Oryctolagus cuniculus: one gene and its partners. The main gene of each other region encodes a partner of the protein of the gene in region 7 in a complex. Links are inferred from orthologs where the notes say so. Each region holds a gene or a part of one and is shown on either strand. Other genes may lie near its edges.

Region 1 (3,962 bases), on a different chromosome or scaffold from region 7:
TCTAAAGAAGAGAAGAATGAGCGCACTGCTCCCTCCCCCCAAAAGCCCGGGTGCCTCCGCGGCATGGGAGACTTCCAGGATCAAAGTCTCTCCAAGCCCACCCGGTTTAGCCTACCCCTCGATCGTGACATGGAAACCGAAGCCCAGCGAGGGGAAGGGAGGCTTCCAAGAGTTGCCTTTCGGGCGTGGAACCCAAAACCCTCATCCTGACGACTCCGGAGCCTTTCTTTCCAGGGGGCGCGTTGGGAGGGGGCTTGCGCTCCGGGGAGGCAGCCGGTGGCACCTGCGGCCAGGGCCCCAGGTAGCGCCACGTCAAACCGAAACTCGGAAAGAGGAAGCGGGGAGAGAGGGCCCTCCAGTGCCCGCGCCGCGCCCAGCCTCACCCGCGGCAGCTCCTCGGTCCTGCGGTGCCAGCTGCCCCACAGCGTGTAGAGGGCCGAGCCCACGGCCAGCGCCAGCAGCAGCACGGGCAGCAGCTGCGCCCGCGGGAGCAGGCGGCGCTTGAGCGGCGAGCTCGGCTCCATCAGGCCGCGCTCCCCGAGCCGGGGCCGGGGCCGCCCGCGGCCCCCGGGACGCATGGCAGCTTTGCCCTGAAACCGGCCAGGGACCGCGGATGGAGTTCAGGCCCAGCCAAGTCCCACCCCATGGAATCACAAAGCCAATGAGCGACAAGAGCGCCGGGCACCACCCCGGCCCGGCGAGCCGGGTGCAGCTCCCGAGGACAAGCCTCCCCGGAGGCCCGGGGTGTCGCGATTGGCTCCCAGAGGGGTTGCACAACCCCCAGAGGGGACGCGAAGGCGTGCGGCCCGCCCCGGCGGAGCGGGTAAAGCCAATGGGCAGCGCCCGGCCGCGGAAAGGGATTGGTTCCGCGGGACGGGAAGATCCAGCGAGGCGTCAGGCCCCGAAGCCGGGACCGGATTGGCTTCGTGGAGGCCGCGCCCCCGGAGACGGGGCTGGCGGGCATTTAGAAACCTCTGGCCGTTTCCCTCCTGCAGCCTGTCCCGCCTCTACCACGAAGCGGCGCGACTCGGACTCTCTGTCTTGGTCTCTCCATCCCGATGAACACCTGCCCGCTGTGGTCCTTAAAGGCCTCGAACTGCCGCTCGCGGCTTCGGCCCCCTCGCTGCGCAGCCGGCGGGGGTCGCTATGGCAACAAGCCACGCCCCAGCCCGCCGGGTGGGTTTGCGCAGGCGCCCACGGAAGTGGCCCGCCGGAAGCGGAAGTCCCGCCCCTCTCGCGCTCCATCCGCAGAGGCAGAAGCAACGCGGAGGAGGTTGGAGTGAGAGTGACCCGAACGCGGGGCCGGCACCATGTGAGGCCGGGCTGGGCTTAAGCGGCGGGCGTGAGGTTGTGGGTGCGAATGCGGCCGATTAGCGGCGGAAGGGGGCGGCAGCGCCGGGGGCGGAGCAGAGCTCTCGGGCGAATTTTCTGTAATGAGCGTGGGACCGGCCCCCGGGGCCTCTGGCGGACCCTGAGTCCGCGAGGGCCGCCAGCTCTGTGAGAGAACGGGCAGCGGCTCCTCCGCGTCATCAGCTCGCTGGAGTGAAGGTTAAGAAGCGGCTTCTCGAGTTACAGAAGCCGGGGAGCGGGCGCGGGCTTTTAGGCATAGCGATTGGGGGCGAGGGGCTTGGAACGTGAGCTGGGGCCGGGGGCCGTGGCTGCTCGGCCTGATTCGCAACGACGCCGCGGCTGGGGCTGCAGGCTCAGCCGGGGGCCCTGGGAGGGTTCCGAAGAGGCTGCCGTGAGTTAGGCTTGCGCACGGCCCCCAGGCTGCCCCTGGGTGCAGGTAGCCCTGGCACGGAGGTCGGATTCTGCAGCCGGCCGGGGGGAGGGGTACGGCCGGCAGACGCATTGATTCGGCCCTGCCGAGCGGGACTACGGCAGGCTGGTTTTTAAGCCGGCGCCCGAGTGCTGTTCTGAACACCGAGGCTGGCCAGCCCCGAGTGGCCGGGCAGGCCTTTCTCCTGTGACTGTTGCCCGGGCTCCACGGGGTCGCAGCACAGTCAGGTCCCGTTACGCTGTAACCTGGAGATGACTTAGCGAGCGGGAGGTGTGCGCAGGGTGTGTGTGTGTGCGTCCCCGCCATCCCACCTAAGGGATCCGAGCCGCTGAGGCTTCCGGGACCCGGGCAACGCGGATCCTGGGACCAGCCCCCTGTGGATGCCGAGGGACAAGCGTCCGATTGTGGGGCAGTGGGCGTCAGACGCCAGGGGGAGGAAGGTGGGGGCGCCGTAGAGCAAGTCCTGACAGTGGCTGCTGTCCGAGTTGCCGTGGGAGACGAAAGAGGAGTGGACGTCCGCTTCTGCCCGGCCAATGAGAAGGGCGGACTTACCCCCCAGGGAGTGGTGTGCCCTGGGTGCAGCAGGCTGGGGAGGGGGCCTAGCGGGAGCTGAGCCGGGGCGGGCGGGGTTGGGGATGGCTGGTGGCTTCCAGGTGCTGATGCCTAGAGACCAGGCCGGCAGGGCTGGGGGGCGGCCCCGGCTCCTCCCCTCACCCGCGGGTCCCTCCTCCCCCGTCAGGAGCCTCCTCAACAAGCCCAAGAGCGAGATGACCCCCGAGGAGCTGCAGAAGCGGGAGGAGGAGGAGTTCAACACGGGCCCGCTCTCCGTGCTCACGCAGTCGGTCAAGAACAACACGCAGGTGCTCATCAACTGCCGCAACAACAAGAAGCTGCTGGGCCGCGTGAAGGCCTTCGACAGGTGCGCGGCCGGGGGCGGGGCCTGGCCCGGGAGGGAGGGGCCTGCGGGCGGGGCTCCTCCGAGGCCGCGCCTCCCGCCCTGCCCTGCGGTGGGCGCCAGCCGGCCCCTGCTGTGCTGTCCCTCTGAGCGGCCAGGCGACCCTCAGCGCGTGCCGTTATCTTGTCCGCACAGTGGCAGGCAGTCGTCGCGGTGGATACAGAGATGCGGTGACTTAACACGCATGAAGTGCCTGGCCACAGGACACCTTTTGGTTCATTCATTGAAAGAGAAGCGGAGAGACGGAGAGAGCTCCCACCTGCTGGGCACTCCCCGGATGTCCACAGTGGGGCCAGAGCCGGGGGTAGCACGCAGGCAGGCTTTTAATATTTTATTTATTTTGAGAGGTAGAGTTATGGATAGAGACACAGAGAGGTCTTCCATCCGCTGGTTCACTGAGCTGAGCTGACCAGGAGCCAGGAGCTTCTCCTGGTCTACCACGTGGATGCAGGGGCCCAAGCACTTGGGCCATCTTTTGCTTTCCCAGGCCACAGCAGAGAGCTGGATCGAAGAGGAGCAGCCGGGCCTCGAACCGGCACCCTTGTGGGATGCTGGCGCTGCAGGCCAGGGCGTCAGCCCACCAACCACAGCGCCGCCCCCGTGTGTTCTGTGGTGTCTCACTCACGCACTCACCGTGCCCCTGGCCGTCCTTTGTGGTGCCCACAGCCTTGCAGAGGTGCCCCTGGCAGGGCTCGGTCCTGCAGGAGAACCTTCCAGGCGCTCTCCTGCCGCCCGGTTCTGCTGGTCCTGGCCTGAGAACACTGCGGCCAGCGGGCTGTTGCCTGCCCCCTCAGCCCCTCCCACCCGCGACTGAATGCGCAGTGTGTGCAGGTGGGGCGGGTTCATTCAAACAGGCACCTGATGACGGGCGATCTCCTTCCTGCGCCCTCCCTCCAGGGACCGCCCCCCTGGTGGTCACAGATCCGCAGGAGTGTGGTGTGACTGAAACATCACATGTGTTGGAAGATGGGGGCTTCTTAGCCTTTTTTTTTTTTTTTTTTTTTTTTTTGACAGGCAGAGTGGACAGTGAGAGAGAGAGACAGAGAGAAAGGTCTTCCTTTTGCCGTTGGTTCACCCTCCAATGGCCGCCGCGGTCGGCGCGCTGCTGATCCGATGCCAGGAGCCAGGTGCTTTTCCTGATCTCCCATGGGGTGCAGGGCCCAAGCACCTGGGCCATCCTCCACTGCACTCCCTGGCCACAGCAGAGAGCTGGCCTGGAAGAGGGGC
Region 2 (3,824 bases), on a different chromosome or scaffold from region 7:
ACCGTGAGACTGGTTTTCTTTCACAGTAAATTCTGTCCTAAATACTTTATTATCTTAAGTCAACAAAACATATGTTTGCAGCCTGTCAGGGCACAATTTCTGTTGTGCCCTATCTCCACAATTATTTTAATTATCAGATGTTCTGATTTTAGCTACAGCATGTACATTAGTTAGCATATATTAATAGAGAACATAGAATTTATTGACTACTAAGTAAAAATAGTATATATTAATACTAAGAAAATGCTTAACTTGTATACATATTAAAAGTAGCTCAAGAATATAAAAAACAGTTGCCTTTAAAAGGTCTCAGTTAATATATAAGGGCTGAAATTCATCTTTAAAAAATTTCTAGGCATCTACAGGAAAAAAAAGTACTGGGGTTAACAAAAGAAAACCACGCTGAATCAAGCAGGATGGTTTTTCAAGCATTGGTTCTGATTGGTTCAACAGGGGAGCTTTGCATTTGTTTAAGTACCTACATATAAATAGCTCACAAGTCAAGTTGAAAAAACAAACACATCTTTATTGTCTAGAAATATATATATAAAAAAAGAAAACCCCACCAAAGATGCTACTCTCTCATTTCACCATCTTCTTCCTCTTCTTCAACACCCCTGATATAAAGGACATTATTACACCTGTAAACAGAAAAAAAGGCCCATTTTGTTAAAAAGCACATGACACATTTTTTATGTGTTTGTTAAAAATGATATTTTCTGAAGGGAAAAATTACTGGAACTTGGGTCTAACAAACATCTTTAACAATAAAGGTTACAACACAGAGTCACAAGACTTATCAACATTAGAACTATCTTGAGGAAGAATAGCCCCAAAATATTTTATCTTTGACAAGTTTAACAATTTCAAAGATCTTGAAATCTAATTGTACAGTATTATGATAAATTGACAATTTTTAAAAAACCAGTAATTTCCAGGTTGAGGCACTAAACATACTGCTCACCACTAACTTCTCACACACACTGGCGCTGTTTACCTTATTAACACTTCACCCAGATGTCCAGACAATGCCCCATCTATGTATTCTTCTGTATTTGCAAGCTTGAAGTAAAAAGAAATCCATTAGTATCAATTGTACAGGAGGAAATTATAAAGCACACCTACAACTGGTGAGACCTTGTTAACTGAGACCTTTCTATACCAACAACTCAAATTTATCTGTAATTAATAGTGAGAAAATTAGCTTTCTATTACTATTGTAAGTACTTGTTTCATGTTTATATAAACATTTAGTAATATTAATGTTCATGCATATAGAATATATATTAAAACTTGTTTCAAATAAGTTAAACTTCCCAGTTTGTGCAGTATTTCTTTCGTTAGATATCAAACAGTGTTTCAGGGAACGAAGTCTCCAATTTATTCTCGTAAGTTGTGACTAAAACATTTTCTGAAAATTCAGTTCTCAAATCCCAAACATTAAATTTTCTCATAGTAATAATATGTAAATCATATAGAAGTATCTAAACAGGTGTACAAAAGCTATGGCTAAAATCTACCAGTCAACAACCAAAGAACTAAGGTTTTTTTGTAAAAATGTAGGCACTGGGGCCACTGTTGTGTTGCAGTTGGTTAAGCTGCTGCCTACAATGCTGGCATACCACATGGGTGCTGGTTCATGTCCTGGCTGATTCAGCTCCCTGATAACGTGCCTGGGAGAACAGCAAAAGACAGCTCAAGTACTTGGGCCCCTGCACCCACATGGGAAACCCAGATGGAGTTCCAGGCTCCACCTCTCTAACTCTGCCTTTTAAATAAATAGTTAAGATAAATAAGTTATTTCTCATTTTACATCAAAATGTTTAGTTTTCCTTATACATATAGGTAATAAACTTGTAATTCTAAAAAACCAGTGCCATCCAGGACTCATAAAAGAAATGAACACTAAACACACTCATGAAGGCAAGGACTACATTTTGTCCCCTGCTGTATTTACAGTGTCATGTACACAACGGGTACTCCATGAATATATCTACTCACTCAGCAGACTCAAAAGCTGCTATCAATGTGGTTGGTCAGATATATTCTGTAACTCTAGTAGTTTCACTAGGAAGCTGTTAATTCTAAAACCAAATATTGGGGCCAGCACTGTAACATAGCAGGTAAAGCCACCGCCTGCAGTGCTGGCATCCCATATGGGTGCCAGTTCAAGCCCTGGCTGTTCCACTTCCGATCCAGCTCTCTGCTGTGGCCTGGGAAAGCAGTAGAAGCCCTTGGGCCCCTGCACCCACAAGGGAGACCCAGAAGAAGCTCCTGGCTTCGGACTGGAATGGCTCTGGCCATTGCGGCCAACTGGGGAGTGAACCAGCAGATCGAAGACCTCTCTCTATCTGTATAACTCCAACTTTCAAATGAATAAGTCTTTAACAATAAAACCAAATATTAAGTGGGTGTTATTTTCAAATATGTAACACCCATACTATAAAATCCACTATTTTTTTGAAGTTTGTAATTCAGTAGTTTTGGTATAAAGTTGTACAACTACTATTACATATTCCAGAACATTTTTCATCAAAATGGTTATACCTTTTCAGATTTCCCTATAGGCTTGGTAAATGATTCCTGTTTCAGGAATTTTCCTGACCAAAACCATGCTTAGAGTTACCTACTATGGTGGCAGATGTTTAAACACAATCTTAGCTCTCTGCCTACCAAAGTACTCCTGTTAGTTTTCTGTGTATGGAATCCTTCAATTCATGGTTGGATTGACCACCTGTCTAGGTAACCTTTAAAAATCTGGAAAGAATTCCAACTAAAAAAAATTTAAAAATGGGCAAAACCCATAAATGGCCAATAAGCAAATGAAATGGCCCTCAACATCATTAACAGAAATCCAAATCGCCGGTGCCATGGCTCAATAGGCTAATCCTCTGCCTTGCGGCGCCGACACACCAGATTCTAGTCCCGGTCGGGGCACCGGATTCTGTCCCGGTTGCCCCTCTTCCAGGCCAGCTCTCTGCTATGGCCAGGGAGTGCAATGGAGGATGGCCCAAGTGCTTGGGCCCTGCACCCCATGGGAGACCAGGATAAGTACCTGGCTCCTGCCATCGGATCAGCGCGGTGCGCCGGCCGCAGCGCGCCGGCCGCGGTGGCCATTGGAGGGTGAACCAATGGCAAAGGAAGACTTTTCTGTCTCTCTCACTGTCCACTCTGCCTGTCAAAAATAAAAATAAATAAAGAAATCCAAATCAAATCCACAATGAGATACTAATTCGACCCCACTGGAACCTTTATACTTGCTGGGGGAAATGCAAAACCAAAGCTGCTATATAGAAAACAGTGTGGCAGGTCCTCAAACACAGAACTGCCATATGACCCAGCAATCCCACTTCTGACAGCAGGGACTCGAATATACACCCATGTTCATAGTAACATCATTTACAGTAGCCAAAAGGAAGACGCAATCTAAGTGTCCACAGGAGGTGAATGGGTTAGTGTGGCACATCCATACAATGGAGTCTTTCTCAGTCATAAAAGGCATGAAATCTGACACATGGCTGTACGACATGGGTGACCCCTGAGTACACTGTGCTAAGTGAAACAAGCCAAACACAAAAAGATACAATCATCCCTTGGAATCTGGGAGATTGGTTTCCGAACACCCTCTCTGCTCCCTGTGACCAAGGATACCAAAATCTGAGGGTGCTTAAGTCCCTCTCTGTAAAAGAGCACAGTACCTACATATGAACTATGCACATGCTCTCATATACGTTAAATCATGCCTAGATTACTTATGTTCCCTACTACAATGTAAATGCTATGTAAAAATGCTATAATGTCTTGTTTAGGAAATGACAAGAAAC
Region 3 (3,953 bases), on a different chromosome or scaffold from region 7:
TTTACCTGACTATGTAAAAAGCAGTGCTTTGAGAAAGACACCACGTTAGAAAGTTGCTCTATCATTTATTAGCAGAGCAATATTCAGTAGATGAGTCCTTTAACCACATTCTCCCTCTTTCCTGGATGCCGAGACTATCACCAAACTCATTTACCTCACTAGGCAGCTGCAGTAATCAAACATGACCCCTCTTCTAAGAAAAAGAGCACACAGGTTTCTGCTCACTGTGTGGGGTGGTGGGGGTGGGAGGGTAATGGCCCTGAACCTGAAGAATTCTGCTGAAGGTGGTAACACCATTTCTCTCAAACAGGCCCCAAAACATGGGAGAGGCTGGCACTGTGGTGTAGCAGGGGAAGCCACTGCCTGCAACACTGGAATCCCATACGGGCACCGGTTCAAGTCCCAGCTACTTCACTTCTGAGCCTGCTAATGCACCTGGGAAAGCAGTAGAAGATGGCCCAAGTGCTTGGGTCCCTGTACGTGGGAGTCCTGGGAGAAGCTCCCGGCTCCCAGTTTCAGATCAGCCCAGATCCAACCACTGTGGCCATTTGGGGGAGTGAACCAGTAGATGGAAGATCTCTCCCTCTCTTTCTCTGCCTTTCAAATAAATAATAAATCTTTAAAATGGGGAGTTGGGAGGGGACAATTATGGGATGGAGAAGGCAAAGGCCAAAGTTAACTATTCCAAATCTCCATACGGTTCTTTGCCCCAGTACTGTCTCTTGCTCAGGCCCACAGTCCCGGAGCCCGCGGCAGCGCCTGCCACACGTCGGGCACAATGGAGACGCCGCCAGCCTCCCGTACCTGGCAGTTCATGTTGTCTTCTGCCTCGATGAGCTTGCCCCGATACACCTCGCCGGTGTTGGTCTCGCAGGTCACGATGTGGCCCTCGGCCTCGTGCAGGACTTTGATCGGCACACCGATGGACATCTCGGCAGGAGGAGAGTGCTGTGGTGGGAGACACAGCAGTGAGCCCAGCCTTCAGAGCCAGAGGCCGCGTGTGGTGCGCACCATGTCTCCCCAAGGCCTGGACCCCATAAAACCTAACACCGGTGCCAAAGCTGCATTTTCTACACAAGAGCAGCTCAGCTCCTGGCTTGGAGGAGCCTTCCTGGCAAATACACACAATATGAAGAGGGGAGAGACAGCGTGCTGGACAGAAGGAAAGCTCACGGAAAGGAAAAGAATCTCCCACCTACCTCCCTACTCCTCACCTGCTCCCATGTCCCTTTACCTAGAGACAGAGTAAGGGACACAGATACAGATACAGAGAGAGAGAGAGAGAGATCTTCCATCCGCTGGGCCACTCCCCAAATGGCTGCAAAGCCTGGAACTGCATCTGGGTCTCCCTATGTGGGTGGCAAGGGGCTCAAACCTCAGGCCATTATCTGCTGCCTCCCAGGAGCACTGGCAGGGAGTTGGATAGGAAATGGAGCAGCTGAGAATCAGCCTGGCACTCTCACGTGGGTGCCAGCGTCACAGGTGGCAGCTTAACCAGCTGCCCCACAACACTGGCCCCTCATGTCCCTTTTCCTTGGCCAAGATAACCAGTGACCAATGTGGTCTGTGTGTTGGGAGAGAGGCGCTCGGAACGTCCATGCTGAGCAACACATCTGCCTATCCACAGCTGTGGGTGACTGCATCCTGAAAACCACGATGGGGTGCAGCGGGTACACCGGCATCCCACAGGGGCACTGGTTCAAGTCCCGGCTGTCTACTGCCACTCCAGATCTCTGCTGATAGCCTGGGAAAGCAGGAGAGGATGGGCCAAATGCTTGGGCCCCTGAACCTGTGGGAGACCGGGGAGAAGATCCTGACTCTGGCCTGGCCCCCAGCTCCAGCCGTTGCAGTCATTTGAGGGAGTGAACCAGGGGATGGAAGATCTCTCTCTCTGCCTGCCCCCGACCCCGACTGTGTAACTCTGCCTTTCAGATAAATGAATCTTACAAACAAACCAACCAACCAGAGGACCCAGACATATCCAGGAGAGGAGGCTGTGTTTTTATTTCAGCCTCTGACTTTCCATTCGCTTTACTGTTAAAGCTAAAGAGAAAACAGCAAAGCGGTCACAAAGGGACAACGTGTAGGAAACTGCTTATCTTGGAGGAAAAACACAAGGATCTGCCGACGTAGTTGAGAGACAAGCAGTGGAGTTTTTATTGAGCCAGGTAAGGACGCAAGGCTGGCACGAAATAAGGGAGAACACGACAGGGCAGCCAGGCTCGCTCCGTGAGGATCCCCAGCCCTCCGCCGCCAGAGCTGGAATGTTACGTTTCAGAGAGCACGGAACCAGCGCGGGATCTCAAGGAAGGAACGACCCAATGGAAAGGTATCAGCGTTTACAGGCCAAATCGAACACACAGTTCAGAAGCAGAGGAACTTCGGAAAACGCTTTTGCAATGGCGTGGAAAGCACGAGGGGCTGCATCAGCGCCGGAAAAGGGGGCTGGAGGCCAAGGATGACGCCGATGGAGTTCAGGGACGAGGCTAAGCAGCCAGAAACGAGGGGGAGGTAACGAACTCACTCCCCAGGCTCAGGCGAGGCGACGCGGGTGTCTGGGTGTCCCGGCTTCCCGCTTCCTTCCCTCCCGGAGCCCTGCGCGGTTCCTTGCAGCGCGTCCTGCCCCAGCCCCCGATCCCTCACGAGCGCCTAGGCCTCCCCTTTCCCGTCCCCGGCCCCTACTCACCGGCTCGAGCCCCTTCTTCCTCCTCTTCGGTGCTGCGACAACAACTGCGAGAGAGAAGGCGTGAGCGGGGCGAATGGCGGGCCTTGCACTCCCAGAATACCACGCGCTCCCAGAATGCCGCGCGCGGGGACCGTCCCAGAGCGCGAGCTCGTCTCCGCTTCCTCCTTACTCCGCCGGCTGGGAAACGCGGACCCAGGTACGATAGTTCCGGCGCCGGAAGAGAGGGCTGATGACAGGGCCCGGGGGCCGCCGGAAGCCCCGACGCGGGGGCCCGAAACGGGAGAGGGGGGCTTGCGCTTCCAAGCACCCCTCACAAAAGACTGGCTGGACGACAAGGAGGGGATCTACAGCCTGGGTCCTCGGATCCGGGGCAGCAGGAAGTGGGAATGAGGGCTGGGACCTCCCCTCACAATTTAATCTTTGGAACCCGGCACTGCCAGGTAACGGGAACTCTCAGAGAGGGGAGGTGTCGTGTCTGGACAGAGAAACTGAGGTACCAAGTGGAGCAGGGGCCGGCTCAGCACTAAAGAGATCAGAGTACGGTTGCCTGGACCCTAGGCAATCACAGGGCCGGAGCCGGCTTACAGCTGAAGCCGGCAAAGGGGTGGGGCCTGGCAGAGGCGGGGCTTGCTGAGGGAAAGAGCCCCTGGGGAGCCAGTGTTTGCGCTGCGCCGAGCCCTCGGGGAGGGGCTCAGAAGGGGCGGAGCTTCCGGGGGACCGAGCGAAGGAAGGGCCCGCGCGTCTGCGCGAGGATTCGGTAAGGGGGCGGAGCTACCAGAAACCGAGACTGTGAATGGCCAGGCCGGGCTTAAATCATGAGGCTGGAAGCCTCTAGGAATCGAAGTCTGGGACTGGGAAGGGGCGGGGATTAGGGGAGGGGCGGGGCCTCCGGATCCAAGACCTGGAGTGGCTGGGGCGGGGCTTGGGGCTGCCCGGCCGCCGCCTCCGCTTCTCCCCGCTGTGGCGGTGGCGGCGGCGGCTACGGCGTTCGACACGCATTGGCTGCGCTCCTGCGCCAGCTGAAGCCGAAGCTGCAGCCCGCAGCGGGCCGGGGCCATGGGCGCCCCGTGCTGCGCGGGTCATGAGGACGGAGGCGGAGGCAGCGGGGCCGCCGCTCGAGCCGGGTCAGTGCCTCTCTCTGAGGGCCCAGCCCTCAGCCCCGGGGAATGAGGGGGACCCCGCCCTAGCGCGGAGCAGGGTCCATCCGCGCGCGTCCCTGGCCGTCTCTGCCCAGGCTGTGGAGCTGTAGCGAAATCATGGCCAGGTG
Region 4 (3,500 bases), on a different chromosome or scaffold from region 7:
TAAGTGGGACAACTGTCACAGGCAACCAGCCACCGCCCACTTCCCTCGCCAATAACAAAACTAATTCTCCTCGAGTCTCCTCAGGGGACAGGCGTCACCTGTCAGACTGCCCTGCTGCGAGGCACCGCGCCAAAGCGACAGGGCGCGAAGACCCTGGGCGAGGATGCGCCTTCCAAAGGCGCTTCCCTCCCCACGCCACACCGAAGACGTCTGTGGGCGGCTGGGGACCCGCAGACCGCCCGGCCGCACACGCACCTCGTCGTAGTTGGTGTCGTTCAGGTCCTCGTCGTCATCGTCGGCAGCCTGGTTCTTCTTCATCTGGTCCCCAACGGTCCTCTTGCCGGGGGGTGCATGGCGATCGTCCACGGGGTCGTTGGCGTCCCGGGCAGGTCCGATGTCCGACCGGGTGGTGAAGCCGGTAGCCCTGCGGCAGACCAAGGCGCCGTCAGCCGGCTCCTGCACCTGCCCCTGGAAGCCCCCAGCGCCCAGGTCTCCACCCAGGCTTCTCCGCTCCACAGCCACGCAGGCCCACAGACCCAGCCTGGCCCAGCCAGGCCCCTCTCTGGGTGCAACCGGCAGCTGCCCAGGCTGTGAACCCAGCACCAGGGCAGGCACCGCTCCTCCCCAGGCCGCGACACCCACCACCGCCGGTAACCGCCTGCAACTCCTGCCGACGCGGCTCTGAGCAGGGCAGCCCTTCTTTTATTTATTTACTTGAAAGGCAGAGTTACAGAGAGCGAGGAAGACGGAGACAGCTTCCATCCGCTGGCTCACTCCCCAGACGGCTGCAGCGGCCGGGGGCCTCCTCCGGGTCTCCCACCCGGCTGGCGGGGGCCCACACACTTCTTCCACTGCCTTTCCCAGGCCGACCCCAAGCCGTCTCCTGAGGCCGGCCCGCGCCCAGCGCACGCTCCAGTGTCCCCAGCTCCCCAGCCCTGGCACGCGAGGCTCCCGCGTCCCCCCTGCGGCACCGCCCGCACGCCCCAGCCCGCCCCCTGCCCTGCCGCATCTCCCCGGCCCCCGGAGCGTCCCAGGGTCCCGGGGGTCCCGCGGCTCCGCCCTGCTCCTCCCACCCCGCACGTCCCCACGCCCTCCCCAAGCACCAACAACACAGGAGTGGGCGGCCGTTCACGGCGGTCACCTCCCTTCAGGCGCAGGCACCAGCCCCACGGGGACCCGCTCCCCGTTCGTCCCCGCCGGCCGAAGCCCTCCTCTCGCCCAGTCCCAGTCCAGCCCCGGCCTCTCCGCCCCCGGCCCGGCCGCAGGCCTCACCCCCGGCCCAGCCCCGGCACGTAGCCGAGCGGGGCGGGCATGCCCAGGAACGGCTTCTTCTTCTTGTTCATGGCGGTGAGGAGAAGACGCGAAGCCGCAGCCTGAGCCTCCGAGACGAGCCCGCCACAGCGCTGTCGTCGCGAAGGGTCGCAGGCGTCGCGTCACCCGCGCCCCGGAAGCAGAGCGCGCAGTCCGCCCGAGGCTCCGCCCACCCCGGGCTCCCGGGCGGAAGCTGCGGAGCGGGTACCGCCCACTTCCGGCCCGCCGGGCAAGGGAGCCGGAGCGCCCCCTGGTGGAGCGGCGGGGCCGCGCCCTCCCGCGCGCTCGGTGGCGCTCCCGGAACCTCCCCGTGCGGGCCGAGCCGCGCGCGTGTGGACCTGGGCGCCGGCGGACTGCAACCCCGCACGCCCCGGCGGCACCCTGGCCGTTCCTGGGAGGGCTGGAGCCGCCGCGTCCGCAGCTCCTGAGAGCCAGTGGCCGAAGACCGATGGGTCCCGCGTTGTGTCGCGGGGGGCTGACTGGTCCCGCCGCCCAGGTCCCACGCAGGGCGCCGCTTGCGGGCCCAGGGGCTCTACTGCTCTCCCGGCTGCCTGCCACGGCTCCGGGGAAGGCGGGCGACGATGCCTGAGCTGGCCCTCGCCTGGACCTAGCCCTGGTAGCGGTTTGGGGGGCGAATCGGTGGGTGGGAGATCTCTCGCCCTGTGCCCTCCGTCAATCATCTCAGGACAGAAATGAGCGCGGCGGACGCGGGTGCCGTGCGGGGGGCCTGTCACTGGGCACGCACTCCTTTGTTTTTCTGAAAGGCGGAGTGACAGAGCTGCCAGGCGCGCCCCAAATGGCCACGAGGACCAGGGCTGCGCTGGGCTGAAGCCGGGAGCTGGGAGCTCCACCGGGTCTCCCTTGTGGATGCCAGAGGCCCCGCACTTGCGCCATCCTCTGCGGCCTCCCAAGTGCACTGGCAGGGAGCTGGATCGGAAGCGGGAGTAGCCAGGGCTGGAATCAGGCCGCCCCTGCCCACTGGGCCAGCCCGGAGCTCCACGCAGGCCTCACTCCCGGGGGCAGGGACCCCGTGACTCGAGGTCCCCACTGCCTCCCAGGACACGCAGGCCGGTGGAGGACCGGGTGCTGCACCTGCGATTCTGCAGCCCCCACAGGGCCCAGGCAAGGCAGAAAGCTCAGCCACTCGCAAGCCTCGTTTTCCTCACAGCTCAGGCCAAAGACCCCTGTGCCGGTCCCCAGCACCTCCAGCCAGGACCCTGGAGCAGGCGCCCCCGCTGCCCCACGGCCTCGGCCTCCTCGAGCCTCTCTCGCCCCTTGTGCGTTCTCGAGCCTGCACCTGCCAGCGCAGCTCCCCCACGGCTCGCGCTGGGACTGCAGGGCGAGGGGAGCTGCCTCCAGGCCAGCAGGAGTGGGGGATGGCAGGGGAGGGTCGCGCGGGCTTCTCTGGGAAGCAGGTGCCCATCTGAGGGAGAGGCCTAAGAAACCCGATTATATCAGCGGGGACGAGGGGGCCGGGGCCCCCTGCCTGGCCCCGGTCGGTCAAAGCCCCCGGAGAGGGCGACCCCGGCAGGTGCGCGGCGACTCGCGCCCCGAGAACACACACGCCAGGCACACGCGGCCCCGCGCGCGCCGCCCCACCTCGGAGCGCCTGGAGCGCGCTGCGCTCGGGCCGGCGGCAGGTGCCTCGCCGCGCAGACTCGCGGGCCGAACCGGCTCGGCGGGGCGGCCGGGCGGGGCGGGGCGGGGCGGCGCGCGCTCCCCGCCGGCCACACCGGCCGCCTGCGCGGCCAGGGGCGTGCGCGGGCGGCGCCGCGGGCCCCATGTTCGCCGAGCTGAGGGCCAACCGAAGCCCCCCGCGAGGCCGCGCCGCGGCTGTGCGCGCGGGCTTCGGGGAGCGCCGGGATGTGGACGGTGAGCGGGACGCGGGCGCGGGCGGGGGCCCCCTGGCCTGAGCGTGTCCCCACGGCCTCTGTGCTGCGCTGGGGGCGGCCGGCCTCCGCGGCGTGGGGTGGGCTGAGCCCGGCCGCGCCTGTCCCGCACCGGGGTCACCTTTCGGGAGGTACCCAGGCTGCAGCCCCGCTCCCCTGCCCCTCCCTCCTGGAACGGGACGTTGAGGCGGGGAGGGATCAACCCGCGCCGGGTGCCGGCAGGAAATGGGCGGGCCCCGCCGGCTCCGGGCAGATGCGGTTCCCGGGGCGCGGCGCCGAGCGCCCGGAGATCCTGGGAAC
Region 5 (4,049 bases), on a different chromosome or scaffold from region 7:
CTGGCTTTGAACTGGCCTAGCCCTCGCCTGGGCAATAAACAGTGGATGTAAGATCTCTCTCTCCCTCTCTCTAACTCTGCTTTTTAAATGAATATATAAATCTTTAAAATCTGTGGTCACACAAATAAAGGCATGAAATTGATAGAACAGTGGAACGATGCAGTTTCTGGTTTAATACATAAAATGAATCAGTGGAGGACTGTAAGTGTAGCTAGAACATTTAGATCTTCAGGTTGCTGAGTCCACAGAAACATGTCTTCTCAAGGGCTAAGAATTAGCCTCTGATTTAGTTCTCTTCAAAGCTCCTCATCAGGAGGGCGGATGTTTGGTCTTGTGGTTAAAATGCTGCTGGGGACATCCCCATCCCACGTCGGAATGCCTGGCTCACTCCCAATTCCAGCTTCCTGATAACGCGCACCCTGGCAGGCAGCAGGTGATGGCTCAAGTCACTGGGTCCCTGCCACCCACATGGGAGGGCTGGACTGAGTTCCTGGCTTCCAACTTCAGCCTGGTCCAGTTTTGGCTATTGTGGGAATTTGGGGAGTGAAGTAGCAGACGGGAGCTAACTCCCTGTTTCTCATGTCTCTCAAATACTAAATAAAAAATAAAAATCCTAACCCCGTAACAAAGTACACTCAGCCTTCCATATCCATAGATTCCACAACCAAGGAATTCAAGCAACCTGAGATAAAAAATATTTGGGAGAAAAAACTGTATCTGAACTGAACATGTATTGAGTTATTTTTCTCACCATTATTTCCTGAACAATATAGTATTACATTTTATTAGGTATATGCAAAGGAGCTGGTGCTGTGGTGTAGTGGGTAAAGCTGCAGCTTGCAATGCTGGCATCCCATATGGATGCTGATTCGAGTCCCGGCTGCTCTGCTTTTTATCCCATTCTCTGCTAGTGGCCTGGGAAAGCAGCAGAAGATGGCCCAAAGTGCTTGGGCCCTTGCACCCACGTGGGAGACCTGGAAGAGGCTCCTGACTGTTCCAGCTCTGGCCATTGCAGCCATTTGGGGAGTGAACCAGTGGATGGAAGATATCTCTCTGCCTCTCCCTCTGTCTGTAACTCCAACTCTCAAATAAATAAATAAATCGTAAGGGGGGAGGCGGCGCTGTTGCATAGCAGGTAAACTCGCCACCTGCAGTGCTGGCATCGCATATGGGTGCTGGTTCTAGTCCTGGCTGCTCCACTTCCAATCCAACTCTCTGCTATGGCCTGGGAAAGCAATGGAGGATGGCCCAAGTCCTCGAGCCCCTGCACCTGCATGGGAGACCTGGAAATAGCTCCTGGCTTCTGGCTTCAGATCGGGACAGCTCTGGCTGTTGCAGTCAACTGGGGAGTGAGCCAGCAGATGGAAGATGTCTCTCTCTCTCTGCCTCTCTCTCTCTTTCAAATAAATAAATAAATCTTAAAAATATATATGGGAGGATTGTGTGGGTTATATGCAAAACAGGGGCACTTTAAATAAAAAGTTGATGGAAAATGGAATTAAAAGATAAACTTATTTTGGTGCAAAAACTTGGGAAATCCATATATACGAGTACTATGTATTTTATGCAAGGGACCAGGCATCCTTGGATTTAGGTACCTGAGGGGGATCCTGGAACCAATCCCCTGCGGATGCTGAGAGGCGTCCCAGCCCCCAGGATGCTTGCCAACGGCCTTACCTGTGGAAGGTGCTTCCTTTGTATCCAATGGGAACCCCATCTTTTCTATAAGCAAAAAGAAAGAGACTTGGAATGACGACAGGTAATCAAAGGCCTCTGCAGCTCCTGCACTGGAGCAGAGGGGCTCTCCTAGAGACCGCTGGGAGAACAGCACCTGCGAAGGACAGACCCCTGGGGTGCCACCTTTTATCAGCACCGCCTGCAATCACTGGCGGCCTGCTGGTGGTTCCCCAATACAGTCAGTGCGGCCCTAAGACACCCATAGGAGCAGGCGGAGAAGTGAAGCACGCCCGAGACTGACCTGAATTCTCCAGTGCAGAACTGCCTGAAAGGAAAGAGTGAAGACTCAGTCACTGTGGCATTACAGTCGTGCGCGCCTCGGACCTCGGAGGGCCGGAGCCAGCAAGCCCGTCAACCTGCCCCCACGCGTGCACAGACGCAGGCCTGCAGACTGCGGACACGAACTGACACGCGAACAGTCACCATGGTGACCGTTCGGGCCGAGCCCGCACCAGGCGACTCTGCAGGCCGCCTGGGGTCCGGCGGCTGGCTCGGCTCACCTGGCGGAGCTGGAGCATCTCCTTACCTAAAGTTCTCGGCCGTCTTGGGCACAACATCTGCAAAGAGCTCGATCTTCATGCGACCAACTTCCTGTAACCGGAGGGAGACGGAGACGGTCACAAGGCTCAGTCCAAGTCTATGAAGGGCTCAGGAAGCTGGGAGCCCCGGAGGCTGACCCGTCCGCTTTCTCCCGCCTCCGCATCCCTGGCCTAGCCGTGGGTCCCCCCAGCCCCTCCAGAAGCAGGGAGCCAGGATGCGCGCCATTCCCACGCCTCCTGCTACCAGGCCCCTGGCAGCGGGTCGCTGGGTCTGGCTGGTTTCACTCTCTGGCGTCCCTGGGTTGGTGGGTTCTGCCCCTCTATCCCCATTCCCTCCCGCGTGAGTCGGAGTGGCCGCCTGGATCTCACCTGGCCGCCAATACTGACATCAAAGAACACTACGGGGTTGACAGGGCTTGAATTTGCCACCGCCATGGCTCCGACCCGGAAGCAAACGTCGGGAGCGGGGAGTTCCGGCCGACTAAGACCCAGCCCCCTCGTGGAGGCGGGGCGGGAGGGAGAGGAGGCCGCGGCGCAGGCGCAGTAGAAGCCGACCGGCTTCCGGGGCGCGTGCGGTGGCTCGGGGCGGCTCCGTGGCGGTGGCGTGGAGGCTGTACCGCGGGTAAAGCCTCGGCGTCTTTTCCCTCAAGGTCAACGGGACCCCGCTCGCGTATCTGTACTAATACGGTCCAAATTCTAGGGCAGTCTGCAGATTCCATCAGCTTACAGCTAAGACACCTGAAGCGCCCACCGCGCGGGCAGGGTCTTGCCGCTGCCCAGGTGAGACCCAAGGCAGGCGCTCTGGTTTGCTCGCGCTCAGCGGGCGCTTGGAGCAGCCTGACGCAGACTCCCTCGGTGAATGCTTACCCCTTCTTCCTTCACGTCGGGACATCGGAATTCTGTGGCTTCCAGCCCACTTCCCCCAGAGCAGCTGGAACTTGCCGCCACCCGCCTGGCCTCCCCTGCTACCCCTCGCACTGTTGCCGGGCGCGGGCCTGTGTTCTTGGGGCCTCTGGGATGCCCCCTGGTACGAGCTGGCCCCTCTTCTTCCAGATCTCAGTGGAGGTCAGGGGATGTTCCTTGTACAAGGTGCAGGGCGCAGCCTGACGGCTCCCCCTCAGAGACAACACTGCACCCAACCTAAGACAGCCTTCCTGCACTCGGATCACCTGTTTTCTTTACACCACTCCCCCAGCCAAAATTGCCTTGCAGCACCTGTCTCCACAGGGACATCCGGCTCCCTGAAGGCCCGGAACCTCCAGGGAAGTGGACTCTGCCTGTTTGGTTCACCGCTGTAACTGCAGTGCCTGCTATTGCTGAGCTCTTAGCGGTATTCAATAGATTCAGTTCACTGAGTGAAAGGTGGACTGGGCAAGGTTCGGGGTCAGAGTGTGCAACTGGTACTTTTGATCATCCTTTGTAATTCTGTGATCTGAGGAGCCGAGGATAGGGGCCAATGCTGTGGCATAGTGAGTAAAGCCACTGCCTGGAGTGCCGGCATCCCATATGGACGCCGGTTCGAGTCCCAGCTGCAATGGCCGGAGCTGAGCTGATCTGAAGCCAGGGACCAGGAGCTGCCTCTGGGTCTCCCACATGGGTGCAGGGACCCAGGGACTTGGGCCATCGTCTGCTGCTTTCCCAGGCCATAGCAGAGAGCTGGATTGGAAGTGGGGCAGCTGAGACTCAAACTAGTACCCGTATGGGATGCTGGTACTGCAGGCTGGCTCCAAAAGTAGTTGATTTTAGTTCACAGTTCAGTGGAAAATTGCCCAG
Region 6 (3,500 bases), on a different chromosome or scaffold from region 7:
ATGCACTCCTCCTTCTATGTCACATCCCAAGTAGAACTGCGCCCTGCAAGTGTACCTTTCAGCACTCAGCACCCAGAACCCCACTTTTCCTCAGCACCCCTGAAACACTGGTTCTTCCCCAGAGGTGGTAATACCAGTCACCCTCGGGAACACTGGAGATCTACAGACATTTTTGATACGTCACAATGACAAGGAGAGGTGGGACAGGTATGTGCTATCAGTGATGGTACTCAAGGTCTGGAAGTTAGAATCTCCTGTAGTTTATTACAATAAAGATGAGCCCTCCTCAGAATGGCAGGATTTCCTCCACTGAGAAACAATGGCCAACAGGATGACTTAGGGTCGGAAGCAAAGTTACAGAACTTAATTATTCTCCCATCTTTAATTCTGACTTGTGCTGGGATTGTCACTCCTCTTTACTCAGTTTCCCATATGTAAAAGAGGGAGATTACACTTATAATCCAAAAGATTCCAAGGCTGGAAAGTGGAATTGTAAATAAGAACATTAGATAAACCCTGAGAAAAATTGTTTCTTAATTCTAATTATTCCAGTTCGTCTAGTCTCTGTTCTACAAAACATACCAGTTTCTGCTTCACAACAGGGGAGTTAATATACCACATCTTTCAATCCTATGGAAACTATTAAGAAGGAACACCAGGGGCCGGTAAAGCTACTGCCTGCAGTGCTGGCATCCCATATGGGCGCCAGTTTGAGTCCCAGCTCCCTGCTATGGCCTGGGAAAGCAATATTAGATGGCCCAAGTCCTTGGGCCCCTGCACCTGCATGGGAGACCCGCAAGAAGCTCCTGGCTTTGGATCGGCCCACTTCTGGTCTTTGTAGCCATCTGGGGAGTGAACCAATGAATGGAAGACCTTTCTCTCTGCCTCTCCTTCTCTCTCTGTGTAACTTGGACTTTGAAATAAATAAATAAATCTTAAAAAAAAAAGTTAACTGACTGCTACATCAGATAATTTCTTTTCTTTCCAATACCAGTCAGAAAGGAGTCATGAATATACTATAAAGTGATCCATATATTTTTTAAAAGATTTATTTGAAAAGCAAAGTCACAGAGAGACAGAGAAGAGAGAGAGAGATCTTCCATCCACTAGTTCACTCCCCAAATGGCCACAACAGCCATAGCTGGGCTGATCTGAAGCCAGGAGCCAGGAGTTCCTTCCAGGTCCCCCATGCAGGTGCAGGGGCCCGAGGACTTGGGCCATCTTCCACTGCTTTCCCAGAGAGCAGAGAGCTGGAGTGGAAGCAGAGCAGCCAGGACTTGAACCAGCACATATGGGAGGCCAGTGCTACAGACAGCAGCTTTACCCACTATATCACACCACTAGCCCCAATCCATTTTTTTTAGCACGGCACATGCAATTTGTAGCAAGAACCAAAAAATGTATTTATTACTCTTTGAGCCACAAATTATACTGCTGGGAAGTGAATAAGCGGAGATTTAGTATATTGTGAAAAAGAAAGGGGTTGGGGCAGGCATCTGGTGCCACAGTTAAGGTGCTGCCTGGGAGGTGTGCATTCCATACTGAAATGCCTGAGTTTGAGTCCATGCTCCACTTGCAATTCTGGTTCCTGCTAATGTGCACTCTGGGAGACCAGGGTGATTACTCAAGTAGTTGGTCCCTGCTATCCATGGGGGAGACCTGATTGAGCTTCTGGCTTCAGCCTGGCCCAGCCCAGGCTGTTGAGGGTATTTGGGTGGGGAGTTAACCAGCAAGTGGATGATATGTGTATGTGTGTGTGTGTGAGTGTGTGTGTGTGCCTCTCTTTCTGTAACTTGGACTTTCAAAAAAAAATTGCAATCATCAAAAAAAAAAAAAAAAAAAAAAAAAAAGCAAAAACCATGTGGTTATACACTGTTAAAAAGAATTCAAAAGCGGCATGAATACCTGGTTTACATGATGTGGTGTTTGAGTGCAAAGCTTTTCTGGGTAGTCTTTGAAATAGTAAAAATGTTGCTAGGATCAACTCATCATCAACATTTGCTCTCATTTTTGTTATGGCCTGTAAAGGTGACTTGAATTGTCATTGCCTATGTGCTTCTTTCTGATGTCCCAAAGGAAATTTTTTCTCTGATAAACATTATGAATTTGCTAATTCCATAACTGAATTGAAATCATAAAAGATCCAGTTACTCCAAAAACACAACACAACAGCCACAATCAGAGCGAAGCCCTGAGACATGCAGACTTCCTGTACTATTTGAAGACACTGCTTGCTTCTCCTCTGTGAGTATCTCTAAGACAATTTCTTGAGAAACTTATGAGCCAAGTGTTCCAAAGCCACAGAACCCCAATACTGAGCCCCCCACTTCAGCTTTGTGGACACCCATTGGCCTCCCCATCACAATGGCTCACTTGTTCTTCTTGCCGTAGTCAGCCAGGATGAGATCCTTGAGCTGCACCTCCACCTTGATCCACTCCTCATCAGTCAGAGTGGGCCAGATGTGGTGCGGCTCTGTAATTGTAGTCTTATCTGGCTTCAGGATCACCTTCGCCCGGTCATTGTTCACATGCAGAGCACGCAGAATCAGGATGAGACGGGAGAAAGCCTGGGAAGAAATTCAGAAGAGTGTTTGCGAGTGGGCGGGGACGGCGGAGGTCCGCTAACTGAGGTTCTCCCCTTTTCTCAATGTCTCCATCCTGTGCTTGCAGGAAACCCAAGAACTGACTTCAAACTCTAAAGTTCCAAGCCCTCGTAAGGCAGCAGAGTTCCTGCTCCATCCACAGACTGAAACTATGAGAATGGCCCAAATCAGCGGCCTGTGAGGAAACTATCAGGCAGAGAATACTTTCCTGACCACAAACCCACTCGCAACGTGGCCGTCTTCCTACCGTGTAAGATGAGATAGTCTTGAGCCAGTCATCATAGAGGTTGAAGAGAACCATCTGCGGCTCAGTGGCTTTAAGGATGAGATCCCCAAACTTCTCCACCTTGAGACAAGCCTGGAAGGGGAGCTGCAGCTCTGATCCTTTGATCACAATATTGGGGAAGTCCAGCAAGTGCACCTACGACCAGATCAAGACAAGATCAGAAACGATCTTCAGCCTCAGGCCTGCCTTTGTCTACCCTGTCCACCCTTTTACCTCCAACGGGTCCAGCATGCCTTTCCTGGTGACAATGATCTGCTTGGGCTGCTCCTCCACAGGCAGAGATCGGATCAGGGCAGCCACTTCCTCAGCAGTCTTCCACTTAGCCAACTGAAAACCAAGAGAAAGGCAGTGGAAATTGAGTCTGCAGCCTCCCGATCAACTAGAACAGAAAGCCCTACTCTTGAAATCAAGTATGTCTGGACGTTAATGTTGAATGCTAAGCTCTTAGAAGATAAACTGTCAAAAGGCCTTGTCCAAAGGGGGTTTTCAAGCTATACAAGATACTACTCAAAACCAGTATATGATCATGCTAAGCAATATGACACAGTTCAGGAATGAAAGAAGTTAAGGCTACTAGAGTCATAAAAAGCTGTACAAAGAAATGAGTCTTA
Region 7 (3,216 bases):
CCGCTTTAAGCCGGGAGGTTGGCGATGCTGAGAAGCAACTGACTGAAGGACCACGTTGACTCTGGGGGCCTCTGAGCTTTCAGTGGGGTGTTGGAGAACACATGGAGTCCAGATATTCCCAGGAGTAGAGAGGAGTGTGTAATGAGCCCTCTGTTCCTGTCCTCGGCTGCAGTGGTTATTAATACGTTGCCATTCTCATGTTGTCTAGCCCTGATTATGCTGCAGCATTTAAAGCAAATCCCAGTTACCACATTATCCCATCTGTAAGTTAGAGTTGGATGTTAGAGTGACTTTGGAAAGAAATGTGGGTGGGTGCCTGTCTCCCATGGCTGCCAGAAAACGTCACAGGCCGGGTCTGCTCACAGTGTGGAGACCTGACATCCAGAGTCAGGGGCAGGGGTGTGCTCCCAGGACCTGGGAGAGAGCCTCCTCCACGGGGTGGAACCCACCCTGTCCTCCTTGGCCCCACAGCTTGTGCGCAGCACTTGGTGATGGGGGCCCACCTGCTGTTCCTGGAGAAGTCACACGCTCGGCATTGAGGTTGGACCTTATATGTAGCAGTGTGGACACAGCCCTGCTCAACACACGGAAGTGGTGTAAGCTTTCCGGAGGGTGTTGGCAGTATTTGTTTGAGCCTTACAGATGTCATATTCCATGGTCCAGAGGTTCTCTTGGGAATTCATCCTTAGGAAATGATGGAGTGTGTAAACAGTATAAGGGTACAGTTCACAGGTAGCATTAGTGTTAATGGAACATTTGATTGAGTCATGAAAAATCAGAAACAAAGTAACAGGATAGTAACAACATGGCCACTGGTGAAATAAGATGTAGAAGCTTGTGTTTCTGGAAGATGGGTAATTTGTTAAGGGAATGATCACAATGAAAGCAGGATACGTAATCTTGTAGTCTGACAACTGTATGATCACATTTCATAGAAACAGTACACATAGAATCTTTAAATTTTCTAGTTGATTTAAAAAAAAAGATTTATTTATTTGAAAGAGAGAGATCTTCCATCCACTGGTCCACTCCCCAGTTTTCCACAACGGCCAGGGGCTGGACCAAGCCAAAGCCAGGAGCTTCTTCCAGGTCTCCCACGTGGGTGCAGGGTCCCAAGCACTTGGGCCATCTGCTGCTGCTTTCCCAGCCATTAGCAGGGAGCTGGATCAGGAGTGGAGCAGCCAGGACTCGAACTGATGCCCATTTGGGATGCCGGTGTTGCTGGTGGTGGCTTTACCAGCTACACCACAGCACTGTCCCATAGAATTTTTTTTAACATGCCCTGAAAGTGGGGGGAAATGTGGCAAAAGAATTAGAGAAAAGAGGTAGAAGAGAAATGTAACAGAGGAATTAGACCAGTTACCTGCGGGTATTGAGGCTGGAGGTGATTTTACTTTCTTTATATTTTTCTGTTTTCTCTAAATATATTCTCTGATGAACTTGCAGTTAAAGAAAAAAATCACGGAAAATGTGTACAGTATCACCTGGGGTCCTGTTGGTACTGGCAGATGTTCAGTCCGGGACGGCTGGAAGGTCGTGGACGGCTGAGGTCTGCACACGTGTGGTTTAAAGCAGTGGCTCAGCATGCAAGCCCAGTTGTGGCAGCTCAGTGGGCTTTCGGGATCTCCCGTGAGTGCCACACTGTGAAGGCACTGTGAGAGACGCCAGAGTGAATCGTCAGAAGCCAGCTCCTCACGGTGTTGTGTGGTTTCCTTGTGTGCTAGCTTACTGGGCAGGAAGTGCTGGAGAATTCATTTGAAAATTGTCCAGTTATGACACAGAGTCTTGTTTTTTTAATGTGCTTTAACATAATGAGAGCCAAATGGATCTGTAATTTTAGTTTTTCTTAATTTCTTTTTCTCGTAGGTTAAAAATTTTGCGGTTATTTATCTTGTGGACATCACAGAAGTGCCCGACTTCAACAAGATGTACGAGCTGTACGACCCGTGCACGGTCATGTTTTTCTTCAGGTATGTCTGACCTCACGCACGGGTGGTCTGAGCTTGGCCGTGATCAGCAGTCCTGCAGGAGCAAGCCAGTTATGTGGTCACGTGGCCAGGGGATCCCTGTGAGTCTTCAGTAATTGTCAAAGTACAGTTCCAGTTTCCGTGTTTACTCAGTAACAAGTTCCCCTCTTGAAGTAAAGTGGCCAGGAAGGCCAGCAGGGTGCCATTGAAATAGAGAAGTTACTCTCACTGCCGGCGTCACTCACCAGTTACCACGTCAGCACCTTTGTTTAGTGTCCTTATCAGTTGGCTTTGCTTAAAGCATGTTTTCTCCGCTCTGAGTTCTGTTGAGTTATTTGGAAACAGCTTGGCCAGCAGCAGTGAGAGCACCGGCCACACTCTGGGATGGGCGCCTCCCAAGGGGAGCAGAGCCGGGGTGTGTGCTCTGTGCCCGCAGGCCTGCTGGTGAGGCTTTGGGCAGGGTCAGCTGCAGGACTCGGTCGCACGAGGCAGAACCGCGGCTGGGCTGCTCTCCGCTGTGGCTCATCCGGCTCCTTGTGCTCGTGGGTCTGCGGTCGCTGTGCCCTGCTTGGCTGGGAAGGCGCTGGCCGGTCGAGTCACTCTCACAGTCTCAGTTGGACCTGAAGCCCTGCTCTGGGCACTGGAGTGGCTCAGGTGGTCCAGCGCAGTCTGTGTGTCACATCAGCTAAGACTGGGAGCCCGCCTGGCCTCTCCAGTGCTCACAGGCGTGGGGTCTCAGTGTGCGCCCACCAGGAGTGTGCTGCCTGCAGGCGCCTCTGCCGCAGCCTCACGTCCCTCGGGCCGGCTGAGGCTCTGCAGACACCACTGCACCTGTGCGGCCCTGAGAGACCGAGAGGGAAGGGAGTCCACTGCCCCACATCCTGGATGGGCCCAGGAAACAGAACTGGGAGGGAGGCGCCGATCCACGGCCCGGCAGACTGGTGCCTGTACCCAAGTTTCCCTGCCTCATGAGCCGTGTCTGCCTCTGGGTCCTTTGTTCCTGGTTCCTGCGGTAGCCCTCTCGGCCGTCCCCAGTGTTAGAGTCGGGATGCCCCACGAGCAGGGAGGGGTTCCTGGCTCACCCCTTTCGCTTGTGACTGGGGTCTGCCACCCTTGGTCTTGCCTGGTTTCAGCGTATTTGCCATCTGCAGAGTCTGAGGGTTTATTTTCCTTTTTAAAATATTTATGTATTTGTTGGAAAGGCAGATGATAAAAGAGGAGAGATCTTTCATCCACTGGTTTATTCTCC

Evidence for each region.
Region 1: TXNL4A (region 7) and SNRPD2 share a complex: the UniProt entries of both Homo sapiens proteins name them as parts of the U4/U6-U5 tri-snRNP complex. The link is inferred for Oryctolagus cuniculus from reciprocal best matches to the Homo sapiens genes TXNL4A and SNRPD2.
Region 2: TXNL4A (region 7) and SNRPF share a complex: the UniProt entries of both Homo sapiens proteins name them as parts of the U4/U6-U5 tri-snRNP complex. The link is inferred for Oryctolagus cuniculus from reciprocal best matches to the Homo sapiens genes TXNL4A and SNRPF.
Region 3: TXNL4A (region 7) and SNRPD3 share a complex: the UniProt entries of both Homo sapiens proteins name them as parts of the U4/U6-U5 tri-snRNP complex. The link is inferred for Oryctolagus cuniculus from reciprocal best matches to the Homo sapiens genes TXNL4A and SNRPD3.
Region 4: TXNL4A (region 7) and PRPF6 share a complex: the UniProt entries of both Homo sapiens proteins name them as parts of the U4/U6-U5 tri-snRNP complex. The link is inferred for Oryctolagus cuniculus from reciprocal best matches to the Homo sapiens genes TXNL4A and PRPF6.
Region 5: TXNL4A (region 7) and PPIH share a complex: the UniProt entries of both Homo sapiens proteins name them as parts of the U4/U6-U5 tri-snRNP complex. The link is inferred for Oryctolagus cuniculus from reciprocal best matches to the Homo sapiens genes TXNL4A and PPIH.
Region 6: TXNL4A (region 7) and PRPF8 share a complex: the UniProt entries of both Homo sapiens proteins name them as parts of the U4/U6-U5 tri-snRNP complex. The link is inferred for Oryctolagus cuniculus from reciprocal best matches to the Homo sapiens genes TXNL4A and PRPF8.

Annotation. Positions count from the first base shown.
Region 1 is NC_091449.1:11,275,666-11,279,627, forward strand, and holds the start of SNRPD2 (small nuclear ribonucleoprotein Sm D2), read left to right. Parts: upstream 1-1,162; 5' UTR 1,163-1,310; coding exon 1,311-1,312; exon of another isoform or gene 1,313-1,548; intron 1,549-2,519; coding exon 2,520-2,699; intron 2,700-3,962. Other genes in the region: QPCTL (glutaminyl-peptide cyclotransferase-like protein), read right to left, coding at 1-1, 384-578. UniProt on the Homo sapiens protein: Plays a role in pre-mRNA splicing as a core component of the spliceosomal U1, U2, U4 and U5 small nuclear ribonucleoproteins (snRNPs), the building blocks of the spliceosome.
Region 2 is NC_091442.1:98,728,125-98,731,948, reverse strand, and holds the end of SNRPF (small nuclear ribonucleoprotein F), read right to left. Parts: intron 1,063-3,824; coding exon 998-1,062; intron 642-997; coding exon 575-641; 3' UTR 501-574; downstream 1-500. UniProt on the Homo sapiens protein: Plays a role in pre-mRNA splicing as a core component of the spliceosomal U1, U2, U4 and U5 small nuclear ribonucleoproteins (snRNPs), the building blocks of the spliceosome.
Region 3 is NC_091452.1:31,112,355-31,116,307, forward strand, and holds the start of SNRPD3 (small nuclear ribonucleoprotein Sm D3), read right to left. Parts: upstream 2,801-3,953; 5' UTR 2,687-2,800; intron 949-2,686; 5' UTR 931-948; coding exon 805-930; intron 1-804. Other genes in the region: protein GUCD1, read left to right, coding at 2,916-3,126. UniProt on the Homo sapiens protein: Plays a role in pre-mRNA splicing as a core component of the spliceosomal U1, U2, U4 and U5 small nuclear ribonucleoproteins (snRNPs), the building blocks of the spliceosome.
Region 4 is NC_091442.1:201,402-204,901, forward strand, and holds part of PRPF6 (pre-mRNA-processing factor 6), read right to left. Parts: intron 3,184-3,500; coding exon of another isoform or gene 3,093-3,183; exon of another isoform or gene 3,014-3,092; intron 1,502-3,013; exon of another isoform or gene 1,344-1,501; coding exon of another isoform or gene 1,273-1,343; intron 425-1,272; coding exon 256-424; intron 1-255. Other genes in the region: SAMD10 (sterile alpha motif domain-containing protein 10), read left to right, coding at 3,093-3,183. UniProt on the Homo sapiens protein: Involved in pre-mRNA splicing as component of the U4/U6-U5 tri-snRNP complex, one of the building blocks of the spliceosome.
Region 5 is NC_091438.1:130,423,808-130,427,856, forward strand, and holds the start of PPIH (peptidyl-prolyl cis-trans isomerase H), read right to left. Parts: upstream 2,801-4,049; 5' UTR 2,712-2,800; coding exon 2,646-2,711; intron 2,329-2,645; coding exon 2,264-2,328; intron 2,003-2,263; coding exon 1,979-2,002; intron 1,723-1,978; coding exon 1,678-1,722; intron 1-1,677. UniProt on the Homo sapiens protein: PPIase that catalyzes the cis-trans isomerization of proline imidic peptide bonds in oligopeptides and may therefore assist protein folding. Participates in pre-mRNA splicing.
Region 6 is NC_091448.1:47,180,267-47,183,766, forward strand, and holds part of PRPF8 (pre-mRNA-processing-splicing factor 8), read right to left. Parts: intron 3,217-3,500; coding exon 3,103-3,216; intron 3,025-3,102; coding exon 2,851-3,024; intron 2,568-2,850; coding exon 2,374-2,567; intron 1-2,373. UniProt on the Homo sapiens protein: Plays a role in pre-mRNA splicing as core component of precatalytic, catalytic and postcatalytic spliceosomal complexes, both of the predominant U2-type spliceosome and the minor U12-type spliceosome.
Region 7 is NC_091441.1:294,906-298,121, forward strand, and holds part of TXNL4A (thioredoxin-like protein 4A), read left to right. Parts: intron 1-1,866; coding exon 1,867-1,970; intron 1,971-3,216. UniProt on the Homo sapiens protein: Plays a role in pre-mRNA splicing as component of the U5 snRNP and U4/U6-U5 tri-snRNP complexes that are involved in spliceosome assembly, and as component of the precatalytic spliceosome (spliceosome B complex).